Yarrowia lipolytica: one gene and its partners. The protein of the gene in region 1 purifies or fractionates together with the protein of each later gene. This does not show direct contact. Links are inferred from orthologs where the notes say so. Each region holds a gene or a part of one and is shown on either strand. Other genes may lie near its edges.

Region 1 (4,260 bases):
TTATCATATTCCGCACCATCCGCATCATCCAATATGCAGGAATGACATATGAGCGCATTAGCAGATACCGGCACTCAGATGTAGGGATATTGATTCTAGGGTGGGTGAAGTTGCTACAAGTAGCTCTTTCTGTGGTGGACCCCGGAGATACTAGTTATGAAGAGTGGTCATGAAGAGTGGTTATGAAAAGTGGTTACGATGCTTGTTTCTCATACACTAGCTAGTCAAGTATTGATCATGATGGGTATGATGTGAGGGTGAATGGTGAGAATACACTACAGTAGATGATAAGAATGTGTTTCTGTAGCTATTCGCGATCTTCGAATATCACGCTCTTTTCTTCGATTTAATCTTCATTTTCGCTAGTTATTGTGATAATTCGAAGTAGTCGTAGTAAATCAAGTGGCACTGTACCTACCATGGCTTGTACAGGTACTTGTTATGGAATGATCTGAGTGAATCTCAACGGCAAGAGATAACGGATTCTGATTTGCGGGTCACAGAAGGAGATTCTCAACTCTCAATGGGATAGTTCCATAAGAACTTGTACTGTAGCCCATGGGTGTCCAGTTTAGATGCTGTAAGCAGAACACGACGCTCAGTTTCTGCCAGAAACTTGGACGCTAGTTGCCAAAAACTTTTAGCGATGGAAACCCTTTAAAAACTTCTCCAGAACTCTCCAGAACTCTCCAGAACTCTCCAGAACTCTCGTGGTCCTATATGTGCGAATGAACGACCTCCACTCACCGCCATTGGACAGACACAGAGAAGTATGGGGATGGTGAATGTGAACAGGAGACAGTGTAGCGATGAATACGAGATTGGTACCATCTCCAAGATCAGCCGAAAACGTTTCTGTATATCAGCTCCTTTGTTGGATTCCATGCCGACAGTCCACCACAGAAGTTGAACATTCGCTGATGCTACACCTGAATTACCTGTCCCAAAATGGCCAAAAAAAAAAAAAAAAAAAAAAAAAAAAAAAGGACTCTCTTGGGTAATGTGACCAAAATCTGCTATTATTTGCGGAATTTATTAATATTCGGATGTAAAACTGATGCAACAAGTACCCTTCGCCCAAACTGTCCTACAACGAGTGCAAAACTCCTCTATCACAACTACTAACATCGACATGCTACAACACCTCCAAACCTAATCGTATTTTTTTTAGACACCAGGAAGCCTTCGTCAACAGACCCCTGTTTCCCCGAATCTGAGTAGAAAAGACGTAAACCAGGTATTCCAAACTCCAAGATCCCCCAGTAAAAAATTCGCTTCTCGAAGACTGCTCTAAAGGCACATTCACCGTTGCTTGTTGCTGTACCCAGATTGTCAACAGTAACTTTGATCCGAGGTACGTTGTGTGCGATATTGGACGAGCTATAGTCATTATCTCTGAGATCAGAAAGGCTAGAAATAGCTTCTCGAACTTTCAGTATGCCCAAAGATATACCAAAAGCTTTCTATATGTCAATATCTGCTTTTGTCACGCCCAGTCGAAGACGTTATATGCTGGACTCTATCAGATAATGTTTGGGTTGCATCGATCTCTGGTTACTGCTCAGCACGGCCAGATAATGTCGCCATATAGACATAAAACTGATACGGTAAAGATGCCAACCGGCCATTATACATCTGGATCAACCATTTTTCTCATAATATCCATCCATTGCAGTGTAAAAATGGCGACTTTTCAGCCCCTTTTTGGAACAAGTTGCTCGTAGGTCTACTCCGAAGTCGGTCAAACTACATGCCAAACCAATCCGAACTAAACAACACACGCAGCTGAGACCTGTGGCCCAAAATTCAGTGGCACACTCATTAACCCTCTAAACAATAAACATATCACGGCGCCTACTCATAAACGAACCACCACGGCCATTTGCGAACGACCCACTATTGTCCCCCGTCTAGTCTCCACGGCCGGGTAAAAAGGCTATTTTTTTCTGCACAATTTTTTCTGACGCTGCAGGACGTTTAAAAATATTCCTGTCCACTTTTCTCCCAACCACACACTTGTCCAACACCACTACACACACCATGTCGGACCAAATCGACTACGTACTTTTCGAGGAGGCCTCTGGCTACGCTCTGTTCAAGGTGCTGCTGCAGCCCGAGAACATTGGCGCCCGAGTCAAGGAGGTCCAGGAGTCTTGTACCGACTTCAACAAGTTTTCCAAGCTTGTCAAGCTGGTGTCTTTTGCCCCCTTCAAGGGTGCTGCCCATGCTCTGGAGAACGCCAACGATATTTCCGAGGGTATCTGCAACGACCACCTCAAGTCCCTGCTCGAGCTCAACTTGCCTGAGGGATCCAAGAAGAAGAAGATTGTGCTTGGTATCAGTGACAAGAACCTGGGCCAGAGCATAAAGGAGGCTCTCCCCAACGTCGAGTGTGTCTCCAACGAGGCCGTCCACGATCTCCAGCGAGGAATCCGTTTGTTTGGCGACCGGTTCCTGGAGCAGCTTGACTCTGGCGATCTTGAGCGAGCTCAGCTTGGTCTGGGCCACGCCTACTCCCGAGCCAAGGTCAAGTTCTCCGTCAACAAGAACGACAACCACATCATCCAGGCCATTGCGCTGCTGGACCAGCTGGACAAGGATATCAACACCTTCTCCATGCGAGTCAAGGAGTGGTATGGCTGGCACTTCCCCGAGCTCGCCAAGCTCGTCAACGACAACTACAACTTTGCCAAGCTCGCTCTCTACATCAAGGACAAGTCCGAGCTGTCCGAGGACTCCCTGCACGACATTGCTGCCATCGTGAACGACGATGCTGGTCTTGCCCAGCAGATTATCGACGCTTCCAAGATCTCCATGGGCCAGGACATCTCCGAGGCTGACATGGACAACGTTACCACCTTCGCCGAGCGAGTTGTCAACATCACCGACTACCGACGAAAGCTCTACGGCTACCTGTCCGAGAAGATGAACACCATTGCTCCCAACCTGTCCGAGCTTATTGGTGAGGTTGTTGGTGCCCGACTCATCTCTCACGCCGGTTCTCTTACCAACCTGTCCAAGTACCCTGCCTCTACTGTCCAGATTCTCGGTGCCGAGAAGGCTCTGTTCCGAGCTCTTAAGACCAAGGGAAACACCCCTAAATACGGTCTGATCTACCACTCTTCTTTCATCGGCAAGGCCGGTCTCAAGAACAAGGGCCGAATCTCCCGATTCCTCGCCAACAAGTGTTCCATTGCATCTCGAATCGACAACTACTCCGATGTGCCCACTTCCATCTTCGGAAAGGCCCTCAAGCAGCAGGTCGAGGAGCGACTCACCTTCTACGATACCGGAGTTGCCCCCACCAAGAACGTCGATGCCATGAAGAACGCCATGGACGAGGTTCTGGCCAACATGGGCGACGTTGAGGTCGATGAGGACTCTGACGTTGAGATGGATGACGATTCCGACAAGAAGGAGAAGAAGGAAAAGAAGGACAAGAAGGAAAAGAAGGAAAAGAAGGACAAGTCTGAGAAGAAGGACAAGAAGGACAAGAAGGAAAAGAAGGACAAGAAGCGAAAGAGCTTGGGCGGTGATGAGACTCCTAAGAAGAAGAAGTCAAAGAAGGATTAATGTAGTATATATTTAACGGATAATACAAGTGAAGATGCAAAGTTGCATACATCTGGCATGCAGTGAGGGTTGCCAGATGATGTGATTTTGCGACCGTAGAATGAGGGAAGACTGCCACAAGACTGGAATCTGAGAAATGTGATAACACCTACAAGTATCTGACATGTCTCAGGCACTACAGCTGTGCCTGTTTTCATAGGCGGTATTCTCATACAAGTTCACTGAGCCCTTATCAGGTACAATACTAAGACAAATATACTAATTGTGTTGTGGACGCATCGAAACCGCCTCTGCAACGCAGTCATGACCTCCTACAGGTACAGTCCAGCAACGCCATCATCTGCTCTCAACTCCTTCAACGCCTTTGCTGCGTCGAGCCCGAAAACTCCGGCGAGAATTCCAGTCAGGTCCTCGAACGTGTCACTCTGGTATCGCTCGAACGACTGAGTGCCCACATTCTGGACCACTAGTGCTGTGGCAGGCACCTGTGACTGCTGACATCGGGTGAGAACGGCGGCTCCTAGTCCAGATATGAAGTTTGGAGACTGCAGCAGAGGTGTGGAAGCCAGGGGGACGAGATTCGACTTACCCACATCCAGCTGGTGCACATGAACGTCAGCAATGGTGTTACCAGGTGCAAGAATGAGCGCTTGGCAGGGTTTGATTAGATCAACCAACTGTTGAGCA
Region 2 (6,488 bases), about 1.4 Mb from region 1:
TTACATGAAACAATATGGTCTGGGGCATAGTAATGTAGCACCCAGTCAGCCAGAAGACCTGTAGCTCGCGGCTTAAATAGGTCTTGACTGTAACATCAACTTCCATCTTTGTCACTCCAAAAACACCATGGATTCGTCAATCACAGGGCTCAGTTTCACATTGCCACTGTTAACCCAACGTCTAACAGATTTCTTCAAAACCCGTCCTCCCAGTTGTACCTTCTTGGCTTTTTCGTCGCTGTAGAGAACTACAGCATGCATTTCTTTGAGTGCTCGCATCACATCTTCCGGCTGGATATAAGTATGTTCGCTGATCGTCTCAATCGTGATGACGTCTTCTGTACACTCTATCAAGATGAACCGGGCTATCGTAGTACACCAGTAAGACATATATGATAAAGTGCCGAACTTCGACAGCGGTCGCTCTGGACTTCCTTTACGGCCTTCGTACTTCGACAGCACGTATGAAAACTCGATCAGCAGTTTGCCCAGCCCTCGCCTTTGATACGGAGGAAATACCAGAATGCAAGCCAGATTGTTTTCGTCCCACGACAGTTTCTCCTTGGAGAAGAAGCCCATGGGTTTAAAGTGCCTGCTGCTGGCGGTATCCTTGCCGAGCACAACATAAAATTCAAAGGCATCGGCGCCGAAGAACACAGACTTGTGGTCCAGGAAGAGCTTCGCGAACAGACAGAGATTCTGGCAGTAGAGCTTGTGAACGGCGCCATCAACACGGCGAATGGCATAGTCTTTCGATTTGTAAACCGTCTCTCCGGGGTGCTTGAACACATACTTGCAGGTGCTTCGGTGTTGGGCCATGTCCTTGGAGACCTTCGAGTATTTGAAACACGAGTCGCAGACAAACAGCTGTTTGACCTGGAAGTCGACCTGGGCTGGTGGTTGGTCATTGGGGGCCACAGATGCGTTTGCTGATGATCCAGAGGACGAAATGGTTGAGGATGTTAATGCAGAAGAGGTTCCTCCAGGTGTGCCAACAGACGGAGAGCTGTAGCGCTCAATGAAGAGCCGGGACATGTCGCAGGTGTGATTGTCCTTGTCCTTGTCGAGGGCCTTGGCCTCCATCAACGCCATGGCCCGCTTCCAGGTCAACTTCTTGAGTTCGTCCTTCTGTGAAAAATAGTATGCCGACGAGTGGTACCACGTGTCGAATTCACGAGGGCCAAAGACCACCCGTCCAATGTTTCGTGGAGGCTCTTCTTCCTCCTCATCGTCCAAGGGGTCGTCGTGCATTAGTGTTGGCATGCCAGGAGAAGATGTTGTCTATGTTGAAGGACTTCGTTTCTCGTCACCACAGAACAGTCATGCACGCTTCAACGTCGCGCTTAAAGACCCATGAGGCGGATGTGTAATAGATTACTTGTAGAGCAATTACTAACGAGAATGGTGTATAACATACTAGGGCTCAGTGTGCACACTATGTAACCATCATTTAATATAAATGTGTCTCTTTTAATTACACCTTTCATTTTTCTACTGAGACCACCTCACTTGCGGCTCGTACTATTTTCGCCCCTCAAAAATCGATGCCAATTTTTGGGAACCAAAATTTTATTGTTTATAATTATGTGAACTGCAGTTTGGTTTATAACTGAGACTCTCAAAGAAAAACATATATTACGTGAACATTTACTTCAAGTTATTATAGAAAAAGAACCTGTCTCCTCCCAACAGCCACATCACATGACCGCGCATACATCATGCACAATCAGAAAAAATTGGGCAATATAGCATAACCTGCGTGAAGCTGATTCAACCCATCGCTTCAACTATGGCGAAATACAAGCTAGGATACAACGCAAAGGCCCGAGCCGGCTCGCTGAAGAAGCAGCAGGAGCTCAAGGCCGCCAAGCAGAAAACCTGGGTCAAGAAGCCTACAGCAGAGGAGGAGGAAGAAGACGCCAATGCCGAGCTCATGGTGCCCAAGAGTGAGGCCGAGAAGGAGGCTCGAAAGAGAAAGCTCCAGGAAGAGCTCACACCTACGGAGAGCAAGATGACTTCAAAGAAGCGAAAGCGTCTAGACAAGTACATTGTGAGTATGACACGAGGATACGTCGCAGGTTTAGCTTAACCAGATTAGCTGAACCAGATTAGCTGAACCAAGGACATTCGCTGCGCTTATGATTACATACTAACTCAGGAAAAACAACTCAAGAGAGAAGAGAAGAAGGCATTGTTTTCCGAGTTTGCTGCTCGAAAGGGCACCTTTGATACATCTCAGCTCAAGTCTATGAAACACATGGGTGACAAGGAAACCAAAAAAGCCCGGATCGAGGAAGCTTTGCGTCTGGAGAAACTGGGTCTCGGTAATGAGGAGACCAAGGAGATTCTGTACGAGAAACACGATCACGAAGAGTGGGATGACGAGAAGCATTCTCATCTCCTGACTGAGCTGGAGCGAAAGGAGAAGCAAATGGCCGAAGAGGAAGAGCAGGAGAACAAAAGCTCATTCATTGACATGCGACCCAAGGCTGGTGGTGGTTTCGGTTTCCAGAACCTGGCCAAGGTTTCCAAGCCCGCAAAAAACTCTTACTCTTGGCGAAAGAAGCTCGAGATTGAGCGTGCTCGAAAGAACAAGAAGGACTACGTTAGCTCCGGGGAGGACGACGATACCGATTCTGATGAGGAGGATTCTGACGAAGATTCAGACGAGGATTCGGATGAGGAGTCTGAGGAGTCAGAAGAGGAAGGCACCAAAAAAGTGAAGGCGGCTGCCGAGGAGGAGATCGAGGAAGATGTCGAGGAAGAGGAAGAAGATGAAGACGAGCAGGAGGAGGAGGATGAGGACGAAGATGAGGACGAAGATGAGGACGAGGAAGAGGAAGACGAGGAAGATGACGAGTATACCGAAATCGTCACCAAAAAGACAAAGGGTTCTTCTTTCAAGGAATGGATCGATGAACAGTCTGGACCCAAGTCTTCCAACATCGAGGATCTCTCGCATATCAAGATCAAGAAAGAAAGAGTGGACAGAGACGAGGACCGCCTTACTCCTCCTCCCGAAGACATTGCCCAACCCGAGTACGCCAAAAGAAAGGCCTTTTATGTCAACGTTCAGCGAGACCCTGAAATCCAGACCTCCCGAATGAACCTTCCTGTCACCGGAGAAGAACAGAGAATCATGGAAGCCATTTTCAACAACGATTGTGTCATCATCTGTGGTGAAACTGGTTCAGGTAAGACTACACAGACTCCTCAATTCCTGATCGAGGCGGGTTTCGGAACGAAGGGTAGTGACTACCCTGGTATGATCGGTGTCACCCAGCCTCGACGAGTGGCCGCCATCTCTATGGCGCAACGTGTTGCTAACGAGTTGGGTAACCAAGGTGATAGAGTTGCCCATCAGGTGCGATTCGATGTCACCGTGAAGGATAATACAGCTCTCAAGTTCATGACTGATGGTGTGTTGCTGCGAGAACTGTCCCAAGACTTTGCTCTTACCAAGTACTCTGCTCTGGTAATTGATGAGGCCCATGAACGTAACATCAACACTGATATTCTCATTGGTGTGCTTTCTCGAGTTCTCAAGTTGCGAAAGGAGATGTTCAACGAAGGCAAGTGCGAGTCTCCCCTCAAGCTCATTATCATGTCTGCTACTCTGCGGGTTTCCGATTTCACAGAGAACAAGACTCTTTTCCCAGTTCCTCCTCCTGTTCTCAAGGTTGAGGCCCGACAATATCCCGTTTCTGTCCACTTCAACAAACGAACAACTTACGACTACATGGACGAGATCTACCGAAAGACCTGCAAGATCCACAAACGACTGCCCGATGGTGGTATTCTGATCTTCCTGACTGGCCAAAACGAGATTGTTAACGTGGTCAAGCGGCTTCGGAAGGCCTTCCCTGATCGAACTAAGGTGTGGCGGCCCAAGGACAAGTCTGAGGATCTCCAGGTCAAGGTGTCTGCCAATGAGACTGTAGTGGAGGCCGAGGAGGTTGATTTTGGCGCCGATATGCGACAACAGGACTATGCTGCTGTCGAGGGAGAGTCTGAGACAGATGAGGAGGACGGAGAAGAAGGTTTCGAAGAGGAGCTTGCTGTCGAGGAGCGAAATGAGTCTGCTCCTCTGCACGTGCTTCCTCTTTACTCTCTGCTGCCTACCAAGGAGCAGATGAAGGTGTTTGAGGAGGTTCCTGCCGGCCATCGACTGTGTGTCGTTGCTACTAACGTTGCTGAAACTTCGCTGACCATTCCTGGTATCAGATATGTGGTTGATTGTGGTCGAGCAAAGGAGCGAAAGTACGATGAAGAGACTGGTGTTCAGTCCTTTGAGGTTGATTTCATCTCCAAGGCTTCTGCCGATCAGCGAGCTGGTCGTGCCGGTCGAACTGGTCCCGGTCACTGCTACCGTGTCTTCTCATCTGCCGTCTATGAGGAGTTCTTCCCTCAATTCTCCATCCCCGAGATTCTCCGATGCCCTGTTGAGGGCATTGTTCTGGAGATGAAACACATGGGTATTGACAAGGTGGTCAACTTCCCCTTCCCCACTCCCCCCGACAGACAGTCCCTGGCCAAGGCCGAGAAGCTGCTGGAGTACCTAGGTGCCCTCAGCAACACTGGTGTTATTTCTGATATGGGTAAGCAGATGTCTCTGTTCCCTCTGTCCCCGCGATTCGCCAAGATGCTCATTATTGGTTCTCAGCTCGAGTGCCTGCCTTACATGGTTGCCATTGTTGCTGCTCTCACAGTTGGAGATCCCTTCATTGGAGAGCACGAGCTTGGCATCAATGAGAAACCACAGAAGCCCAAGGTTGAGGAGGTTGATGAAGACGGAGACCGGATTAAGAGCAACGAGTCTGACTCCGAGCCCGAGGACATTTACGAGATTGAGCGAAAGCGAAAGCTGCGATCCAGCTACCATAAGGCCCAGGCAAAGCTGGCCTCCCTGGACCCTGCATCTGACGCTCTGAAGCTGCTCTCTGCCGTCTGCGCCATGGACTACGATTCCGACCTGGAGAACTTCTGCAAGGGCTTCTTCCTGCGACACAAGCTGATGGAGGAGATGCGAAAGCTGAGACAGCAACTGAGCCGAATCGTTGTGGCCAACTCCGACCCTCGAGCAGCTCCTATGCTCAAGGAACAGTTGAATGCCAAGCTCAAGCCTCCTTCTAAGCTCCAGATCAAGGCTCTCAAGCAGATGATTGCCACTGGTTTTGTTGACCAGGTGGCTCAGCGTCTGGACAAGGTCAGCGAGGACTACAAGCTCACTTCTCGAGAGCGAATCATCAACGTTCCCTACCAGACTCTGTTCCCCACCTCCACCACCAACAAGAAGACTGACGACCAAGGAAACCCTCTGCCTGACGACACTCAGGTGTTCATTCACCCCGGATCTGTCATTAACACTATGGGAACTCATCCTCCCGAAATGTTGGTATTTGCTTCCGTCAACCGATCGGGATCTTCCAAGCTGAGAATCAAGCCTCTCTGTGATATCACATCTGCCCAGATTGGCAACATTGCCAAGGGCACTGCTCTACTCACATACTCCAAGCCCCTGCCTCCCCCCTACGGCCCCAAGATGATCACCAGTACCTCTCGAGAGTGTTGGGTGGTTCCTCGGCTGGGAGCTGCTATTGGCTCTGGAGGCACTGGATGGGATCTGCCTCCTATTAAGGTGAAACAGGAGAAGAAGGGTAGCCAGTGGGTTACCTTGTAAAAATTGCCATAGCAACAAACGAACAAAAACCATAGCATGTTTATATTGTATTAGATTTCTTCATAATTTTAGGGAAACACACTGTATCTTCACTTCGTAGCTACAGCACTTACTAAGCACTTTTTACATCCTCGGTAAGTAATTAGGTTTGTGCATCCATACCCCACATAAAGTTGAACATGAAAGAAGGGAAGACTGATTTGCCCCCACAGCACCAGACAACCAGCAATACGGCGGTTGATCATTGTTAAGCCAAACGATTGGAACCTGATCATATCATATCAACCCAAAACGACCTTTCCTCACGACAAAAAATGGACTACTTTTCGTCACTCAACGCGAGCCAGCTGGATCCTGATGTGCCCACACTGTTTGAGCTTCTGTCTGCTAAACAGCTGGAGGGTCTGATTGCCCCTTCGGTTCGATATATTCTTGCATTCTACGCCCAGAGACATCCGCGGTATCTACTGCGAATCGTCAACCGCTACGACGAGCTGTACGCGTTGTTCATGGGTCTGGTGGAGTACTATAATCTCAAGACATGGAATGCCAGCTTCACAGAAAAGTTCTACGGTCTGAAACGAACACAGATCCTGACGAATCCCGCACTGAGAACACGCCAGGCCGTGCCGGATCTGGTCGAGGCTGAAAAACGGCTGAGCAAGAAGAAAATCTGGGGATCACTCTTTTTCCTCATTGTGGTGCCATATGTGAAGGAGAAGTTGGATGCGCGATACGAGAGACTCAAGGGCCGGTACCTAGCTAGGGATATCAATGAGGAGCGAATCGAGATCAAGAGAACAGGTAC
Region 3 (3,741 bases), on another chromosome or scaffold:
TCTGCTCAGCCTTGGTCGGCCTTTCCGAATCAGTAGACTGAAGGCTATAGTACTTGCAGTATCTCGGACTGTGCAATAACCAAAAGGTCCTTTGACACAAGTCTTTGGTTTAAGCGACAATGGAGCCGAAACCTGTCGTGTAGCCGAGGAAGTGGCTCGGTCAGACATAAAAAAAAAAAGGTAGTTGGGAGGCCACCCTTGATCGCTAACGGGCTACCTGTACTGGACAGCTTCACCATCCAATCACCAATGCTTCTCTATCCCCTTAAGAGCCTCGGCCTTCTCCTTGGCCGTCTTCTCCTGGATTAGCTCCAATTCATGCTGATACTCCTTCTCATACTCCTGCTGGGTTTCCAGATCAGAATCCGCGTCGGGATCAAACTCCGACTCGGTGGGCTCGAGGTCGGACATTTCTGCCTCCCGGCCAAGCTCCTTGAGCCGTCGCTTCTCAATGTTCCGGGCTCTTCGAGCGGCACGTCGTTCGTTCTGCGCCTGTCTTCGGGCCTCTCGTCGTGCGTTTCGTCTAGCCCGAGCCTCATCCGTGCTCATCCCCTTCGCAACGTTTGCCAGTAGTAAGACCATCGTGTGTTATGTCTGTTCTGTATGTGTGTCTGTGAGTCTGTGTGTGTCTGTGGTTGTGTCTCTGTGAACGTGCGTGTGTGTAGAAAGGCGTGTCTGAAGTGACTGACGTAAGAGATACAGTTGCCAATGCTTTCAATCACTGCCTCTCCTTTTAACCAAGCCAAGCCCAGTAGTTGCTGTTGATATAGTGAACTCAAAAGAAAGAGGAGAGCCAAAATTAAAAAGCAATGCATGATGCGATGAGCTCAACAGAAGGGCTTAAAACTGCTCCAGCCGCCCCATGTGATCGTGAAAGTCACGTGATTAGACCTATACTACCACTTAGAAGCTGTCTATCAACTCCATACCCCTGAAAAATAGCTTCCCGGATCCAATACGGCCATCCTCCATGTTGCTGACTCGCAAACTCTATCGAACCGTTGAGAATGTACCGTTAGCCGGCTCGGAAGAGACCCAAAGGTGAGCAGCAATGGGGCTGGTTATTTTAGTCACGTGACCGTTTAAAAGGGATTAGGAAAAGTCAAAGGTGAGCAGCAATGGGGCTGGTTATTTTAGTCACGTGACCGTTTAAAAGGGATTAGGAAAAGTCGAATCTCTTTTCTGTTGACTACCATTTTTCCTTCGCTAAGGTTTCTGAAATTTCACCCGTTTACAAGTATCGTACAAGTAGTACCCCTTATCCCTGTTAAAACTGTGAACCCAGTTCAACTCGTACCCCTTTGACTTGCAGTTGGTTACTCGGAATTCTGGTGAAAATGCATTATATGTACAGTATTCAGTCAATTGCATGAGAAAAAAAGAAGTGAATCTGTTTCCGGCTAGTTGTGGAGGTATGATGACGTCAAGCAACAGGAACATGAACATCGAGTATACACATAGAAGTACATACTGTCCATACTGTAGTAGCCAATGTTCACCATAAACTGTCGAACTGGAATTTCACTCATAAGTAGCTATTCATACTTCTAGCACCATCGCAATCACCATAATGAGAAATCTTGCGCATCTTAATGGCGAACGTGAAATCTATAATCAGTTCCAGGTTGTCGTCGTCTGGCATTATGGACTGATAAATAAGATTATATCCTAACCCTATAGTTACTCTGAATCTCGGAATAGTGGCGAATACATAAAATTCTCATACCATTCGCACCAACGTTCTCTCTGCAAAAATCCGATCAAAACGAATATAATCTCGTTTCACCAAATTTTAGTCCCCTCGATTTGTGTCACGTGACAACCTTATTTTGGAACGTTAAAAAATTGTGCATGCTGCATACGGTTTGGCATATTTTTTAATCCCACCATATCACCAACACCACGCACCGCACAACCATGGGAAAAGCTGATACTAAAGACGCCAAGGTGCGACACAGCCCGCTTCATGTCGACATGAGCCAGGGCAGCGGACTTCTTCGAGAATCCGCCAAGCAGAAGACTTCCCGAAACACCAAGAAGACCGATGCTGCAGAGGAGGATTTTATTGATTCGGCCACTTCGCGACGAATTCTGCAGATGGCACGGGATCAGCAGCGAGAGCTGGATGAGGAGGAGCGAGGCGAGGAGTTTCCCGAGGATGACGATGTGGAATTCGAGGACGAAGACGAGGAGGAGGATGAGGAGGAGTACGAGGAGTACGAGGATGTGCAACAGGAGTTTATGACCCCTGAGGATGCTGCTCTGTACGCGAAGTACTTCAATGAGGACGAGCCTGTTTCTCTGGCCGATAAGATCATGGCCAAGATTCGAGAGAAGGAAGAGGAGGAGCAGTTTGAGCGAACTGGAGAGGCCCCTGGAACCTCCCAGGGTTTGGAGGGAGAGGGAGTCATGCTTCCACCCAAGGTCATTGCAGTCTACGAGAAGGTCGGAGAGCTTCTGAGCCGATACAAGTCTGGAAAGCTGCCCAAGGCATTCAAGATTGTGCCTACGCTGCGAAACTGGCAGGATGTTCTGTACGTGACCGATCCTGCTAGCTGGTCTCCCAACGCAATCTACGAAGGAACAAAGATGTTTGTGTCCAACCAGCAGGCTAAGGAGGCCCAGAAGTTCATCCAGATTGTGCTGCTGGAGCGATTCAAGGAGGAGATTGAAGAGAAGAAGACCCTAAACTACCACGTTTATCGATCCCTGAAGAAGGCTCTGTATAAGCCTTCTGCCTTCTTCAAGGGTTTCCTGTTCCCTTTGGCTGAGCAATGCACACTCAAGGAGGCCATCATTGTCAGCTCCATTCTGTCCAAGGTCTCTATCCCCACTTTGCATTCTGCTGCTGCTCTCATGAGACTGGCTGAGATGCCTTATTCCGGCCCCACTTCTCTGTTCATCAAGGTGCTGCTCGACAAGAAGTACGCTCTGCCCTACCGAGTCGTTGACGCCGTGGTCTTCCATTTCATGCGTTTCGCTCACGTTGAAGAGGCTCTCCCCGTCATCTGGCATCAGTCCCTTCTGGTCTTTGCCCAGCGATACAAGAGTGATATCACGGAGGATCAGCGAGACGCTCTTCTGGATGTCATCAAGGTCAAAAACCATCCCAAGATTACACCTGAAATTCGACGAGAATTGATTTCTGGCGAGTCTCGACCTATTGTGGATGAGCAGATGGAGGTTTAACTAACGGAAAAAGGACTATAATAGATGTATGTAGCATAATTAGAGATGGTTGATTGGTATAGAGCGTTGCTAGCGGTGTTTGCGTGTACACGGTGGGGTTTTAGTTAGTGTAAAGACAGTATGGATGTGAAAATGTACAACAGTACGATACTAGAGGTGCACCATAACGACAAGAGAGGAAAAGACGTATTTTATTGCACAAATATGAGTGCCAGAAAGCGCAAAGGAACCTATTCGCCCTACATCCTCAAACCCTTCGACTTCAACCAAAAAGTAGCTATTCAAACCAACATGGTTCGAAGGGTGTAATCCGATTGAGCCACATGGAGACAAGTTTTCGTTAAATGGACTTCTTACATGGTTTTATTGTGGTTGAAATAATGTAATAATCGACTTCTTTGGTCCTTCTGGGTCGAATCTGAGATCTTTGGATTTTCATGGATTCAGGCTACAAATGAGATTTCATGGATTGAGAATGTATGGGGCCAATCACTTGGCGATATGGGTAATTGATGGATTGGTAAAGAATCTAGACTGTTTTTATTATCAAGT
Region 4 (3,845 bases), on another chromosome or scaffold:
TTGTTGTCTTATTTCACTTGCAAGTACAAGTACAGTACAAGATACAAGTACTCTTTCCTCGCGTTCAATACACAGGTTCATTTTTAGCTCGTGTTTTGAAGAAAAATCTTGATCTGGAGAATTGTAAGACTCTGAGACAACAATATCTGACAAGAGCTGCGAAAGACTTAGGTGTCCATGGCGCTAATTACAGCTTCTAGTTCAAGGTGATATGATTGTTGCTAGCTGAACAAATCTACAAGTACAAGTACAAGTACTGTATGTACTGTACTTGTAAATAGGAAGATCCAATTTTTGTGGACCTGCAATTGGCGAATTATTTGGACTTGTACTTGTACTTTTACAGTAGTCTCATAAATAGATCAAAAGACACTTTCTCTACATAATAACATACTTCATTTCTCTCAATTTTCCAAGGAACAATGTATTTACACTGTTGACTGTAAAATTGTTCTTCAACTAAAGCCTAATTAATTAATTGCGAAATAATGTGATATTACTGGGTGATGAACAGCGGCAGGATAACTACACTCAGAACAAGTTACTATCAGCCCATGACTGTGACGTCATATCGTCTGTCTGACTTTTACACTATCATGTTTACTGTTTTTCTCAGAATGAACCGTGGATAACACATGTTCTCATCGTTCAGTCTTGAACTATTTACTTAATTATACGCACTCTGACACAATTTCATATACATCGATTTATTCAATCCTTACAGTCGCTTAGCAACCGTTTTCTATTAATGCTCTAGTCCTCCCTTCACATGCTTACAAGACCAATTCTCCAGTGTACAAACCATTTCTTCCTCCCACGTTGAGGAACCGGCCGATTCGCAGCTGCTTGGAGACCGCAGCAACCACGGCGAAAACCTCTTTGCCTCGAGATCCGTGCTCACTGACATCGATAGAGTCCACCACGCCCTTGACATTGGGCAGAGTGGCAATCTGGGTGAAAGACCGCATCTCGGATCCCAGCTTCCACACCTTGATCTCTCCACTCCATGATCCGGTAAGGAAAATGTCTGAGTAGGGGATGGCGTGGATTGCAGTAATGTATCGGGGAGATTGGGCAGGGAGAGGCACCTTGTCGGCCTCAGCCTCTCCGGTATGTGGAAGATCAGTCTCGGGTCTCTCCTCAACTCCATGCGCTCGTCTCTCAATGAAGACAGGCTTCTTCTTGCTCAGGGACCACAGACAAATGGAGCCGTTGTCTGAGCCCGTGACGAAGTAGTGTGAATCAATCATGGAACAGCAGTCGATGGAGCCCTCGGGGAAGTCCTTGATGTCTCCTCCCCGGAAAGTCAGACGCGACTCGTCAGCAATCTTCCACACCACAGCAGTTCGGTCTCGAGAGCCCACAGTCAGGCATCTCTCGCCAGCCAGAGCCGAAATGTCTGCAACCACATCCTGATGACCGAAAAGCGTCTCCACTTGCGACATTTGGTCCAGAGAGAAGGTTCGGACCTTGAGATCAGCACATGCAGCATACAGCTGGTTTGTGTTTCGTCGAAAGGCCAGACCCATGACGACTCCCCGTCGATCTCGGGTGTGGAAAACATGCAGGCACGACAGACTCTCGGCTGCCCAGACACAGATGGTCTTATCCTTGGATCCGGTGGCAACGTACTTGCCATCGGGAGACACTGCCACACACAGAATGTCGTCAATGTGGCCCTTGTAATCCTCCTTGGGGTTGAAGGCATCCTTGGAGGCGTGACGGTTGCCATAAACAACCTTGAGCACTCGAGGCTTAGTCACATCACTGATATCCCACTTGACCAGCTCGACATCTCGTCCAACTGTGTAGGCATAAGGGTATCGACAGGCCACGGCGGTTGGTCGGAATCTGCTCTTGTGAACTCGTGAAAAGGAGTTGGCCTTGACGTCCAGGAATCGGTAAATCAGACCCTTATCCTCAGCCACATCCTCCTCCAGGCGCCTTGAAAGATTCTCTCGATCAAGATCAGCAGCGTCGAATCCTATCTCGCCCATCTCATCCTTCAGGTTCTCCAGGTACTGGTTGGCGAGTCGTCGTCGCTTGTCAGCCTGGGTCTCCTCCTCGTCCTCACTGGAGTTTGCCGTGTCGGGGTTCTCAAAGAACTGCTCCTCTTCATTTTCACTCTCAGAAGTAATGTCTTCATCTGCCACGTTGGGGCGCTGGGGTTTGGCGACCGCCTTCTTGCCTCGTCGCTCATCCCGCTTGGGGGCCTTGCTCCTCTTTTTCGGGTTTGAAAAGAATGAATCAACCATGCTATCGTCTTGTGTGAGGATTTTCAGAGTTGATATGGCATAAATTTTCTGTTGATGCAAGCCTCGAAAAAATTAGACTTAAGGTGTAGGACGTCTGATAGAGTTCTTAATAAGCAAATACTTAATAAGCAACCATGGTACCAAAGGTGAGAACTACGAAAGCTACGAAAATCGTATTGTTGATAAACAATAAATAATTTGACCTATATCAATACAACCGACAAAGGGGTGGTTACATCTGCAAACGCCGGAGAACATGCACCTGTCGCAACAAGTCAAGACCCTCTTCTTGGTTCGTTTTGGCACTGTTGCACAGAGCTGTGATGACCAGTCCACATAAAGTGGTCAGTCTGGATGCAGACGATTTCATGACTGCCGCCTCTGGATGGGCGTTGCGGGTCTCGTGCAGCTTGATGAGCTGGTTGGACAGATCCAACACTTCCTCGGGGTCAGACGAATCAGCACCTCCCACTTGACCGACACGTAGCTCGACCTCCTGGAACGCCCGAATATACAGAATGAGTTCCATTGCGCGCTGTCGTTCCTCCAGCAGTTGGTTTTGGCTCTTCAGCACCTTGGCAATCCGTTCTGCTGTAGCGTCGACCTCCTGCTTGACCTGCTCCACCTGGCGTTGGAACAGCACCAATCGATGCTTGATCTCCTGCACCTTGCTGTTGCCACCGCTGACCGAGTTTCCGAGCGCCACAAACTGTTGGTACTCCTTGTTGATGAGCTCCACGACCTCGTTTTCAAGAATCTGGATCCACTGGCCGAACTCGGACTTGAGGTCCTCTAGCGCCTTGAATTGCGTCAGTTCCTGCGACAACAGGTCGTCTCCCGACGAGATCCGGTCTCTGTCGATCTGGACGGGGAATGGAAGAGACATTGTGTATGGCGGTTGGACTGTCGCTATACTGTCAGTATGTACGCACACAGGACACGGTTTGCATATATGCATGTTGGTTGGGAGTCACGTGACTCAGATGGCGAGGGCCAAACGAAAGATGGAGACACTGAAATTTATATACTGTAGCTGGAGAGAAAAGGAAAGTTCAAAGTAAACAAAAAAATCGAATGAGTCGATTTTCAATTATTTTAAAGCTCTTGCACAAATTCGGTAACACCTCAAATCGGTAACAGCTCACATACATCTGTTTGGTGCGGCGTGTTTTGATGTTGACTCACTTAAGCATAAACAACGAGAGTGGATCGGATCGTTGAGACGCATCAAACCTCCCTCTCAGGGTCGCCAACAGGAACAACACATACAACAATGAAATGAACGCGGCTCTGACTTATCTCAACATAGCCGTGTTTGCCATGGCCGGAGCTATAGCCCGTGAGGGTATAGAGCACCTGACACTCTTCCATGGCTCGTTCACCGAGTCCGGATTGGTATGGGCCAATTTCGGAGGCTGCATAGTCATGGGGTGGGTAAATGCCACAAATCTGTTTGAAAACGTGGAAAAAGAACGTGGAGTGACAAAGAAACAGTTGCCGCTGTTTTTAGGCATAGGCACGGGCTTCTGTGGTTCTCTAACTTCCTTCTCCACCCTCATGCTGGAAGGCTTTCTATACGGAGCCAACCAG

What was found.
Region 2: the proteins of YALI1_D21076g (region 1) and YALI1_D35148g purify together in Saccharomyces cerevisiae (affinity purification with mass spectrometry; 5 studies listed by BioGRID). This does not show direct contact. The link is inferred for Yarrowia lipolytica from reciprocal best matches to the Saccharomyces cerevisiae genes NOP56 and ECM16.
Region 3: the proteins of YALI1_D21076g (region 1) and YALI1_C05636g purify together in Saccharomyces cerevisiae (affinity purification with mass spectrometry; 5 studies listed by BioGRID). This does not show direct contact. The link is inferred for Yarrowia lipolytica from reciprocal best matches to the Saccharomyces cerevisiae genes NOP56 and ENP1.
Region 4: the proteins of YALI1_D21076g (region 1) and YALI1_A21630g purify together in Saccharomyces cerevisiae (affinity purification with mass spectrometry; 3 studies listed by BioGRID). This does not show direct contact. The link is inferred for Yarrowia lipolytica from reciprocal best matches to the Saccharomyces cerevisiae genes NOP56 and RRP9.

Annotation. Positions count from the first base shown.
Region 1 is NC_090773.1:2,105,414-2,109,673, reverse strand, and holds YALI1_D21076g (uncharacterized protein), read left to right. Parts: upstream 1-2,040; coding exon 2,041-3,573; downstream 3,574-4,260. Other genes in the region: YALI1_D21044g (uncharacterized protein), read right to left, coding at 3,885-4,260. UniProt on the Saccharomyces cerevisiae protein: Required for 60S ribosomal subunit synthesis.
Region 2 is NC_090773.1:3,512,941-3,519,428, forward strand, and holds YALI1_D35148g (uncharacterized protein), read left to right. Parts: upstream 1-1,789; coding exon 1,790-2,050; intron 2,051-2,158; coding exon 2,159-5,680; downstream 5,681-6,488. Other genes in the region: YALI1_D35143g (uncharacterized protein), read right to left, coding at 112-1,263; YALI1_D35190g (uncharacterized protein), read left to right, coding at 5,995-6,488. UniProt on the Saccharomyces cerevisiae protein: Probable ATP-binding RNA helicase. Required for 18S rRNA synthesis. May play a role in restructuring of the pre-rRNA.
Region 3 is NC_090772.1:561,781-565,521, reverse strand, and holds YALI1_C05636g (uncharacterized protein), read left to right. Parts: upstream 1-1,917; coding exon 1,918-3,189; downstream 3,190-3,741. Other genes in the region: YALI1_C05649g (uncharacterized protein), read right to left, coding at 244-582. UniProt on the Saccharomyces cerevisiae protein: Required for normal export of the pre-40S particles from the nucleus to the cytoplasm.
Region 4 is NC_090770.1:2,161,335-2,165,179, reverse strand, and holds YALI1_A21630g (uncharacterized protein), read right to left. Parts: upstream 2,256-3,845; coding exon 774-2,255; downstream 1-773. Other genes in the region: YALI1_A21620g (uncharacterized protein), read right to left, coding at 2,488-3,213; YALI1_A21617g (uncharacterized protein), read left to right, coding at 3,534-3,845. UniProt on the Saccharomyces cerevisiae protein: Involved in nucleolar processing of pre-18S ribosomal RNA. Required for efficient pre-rRNA cleavage at sites A0, A1 and A2, and biosynthesis of 18S rRNA.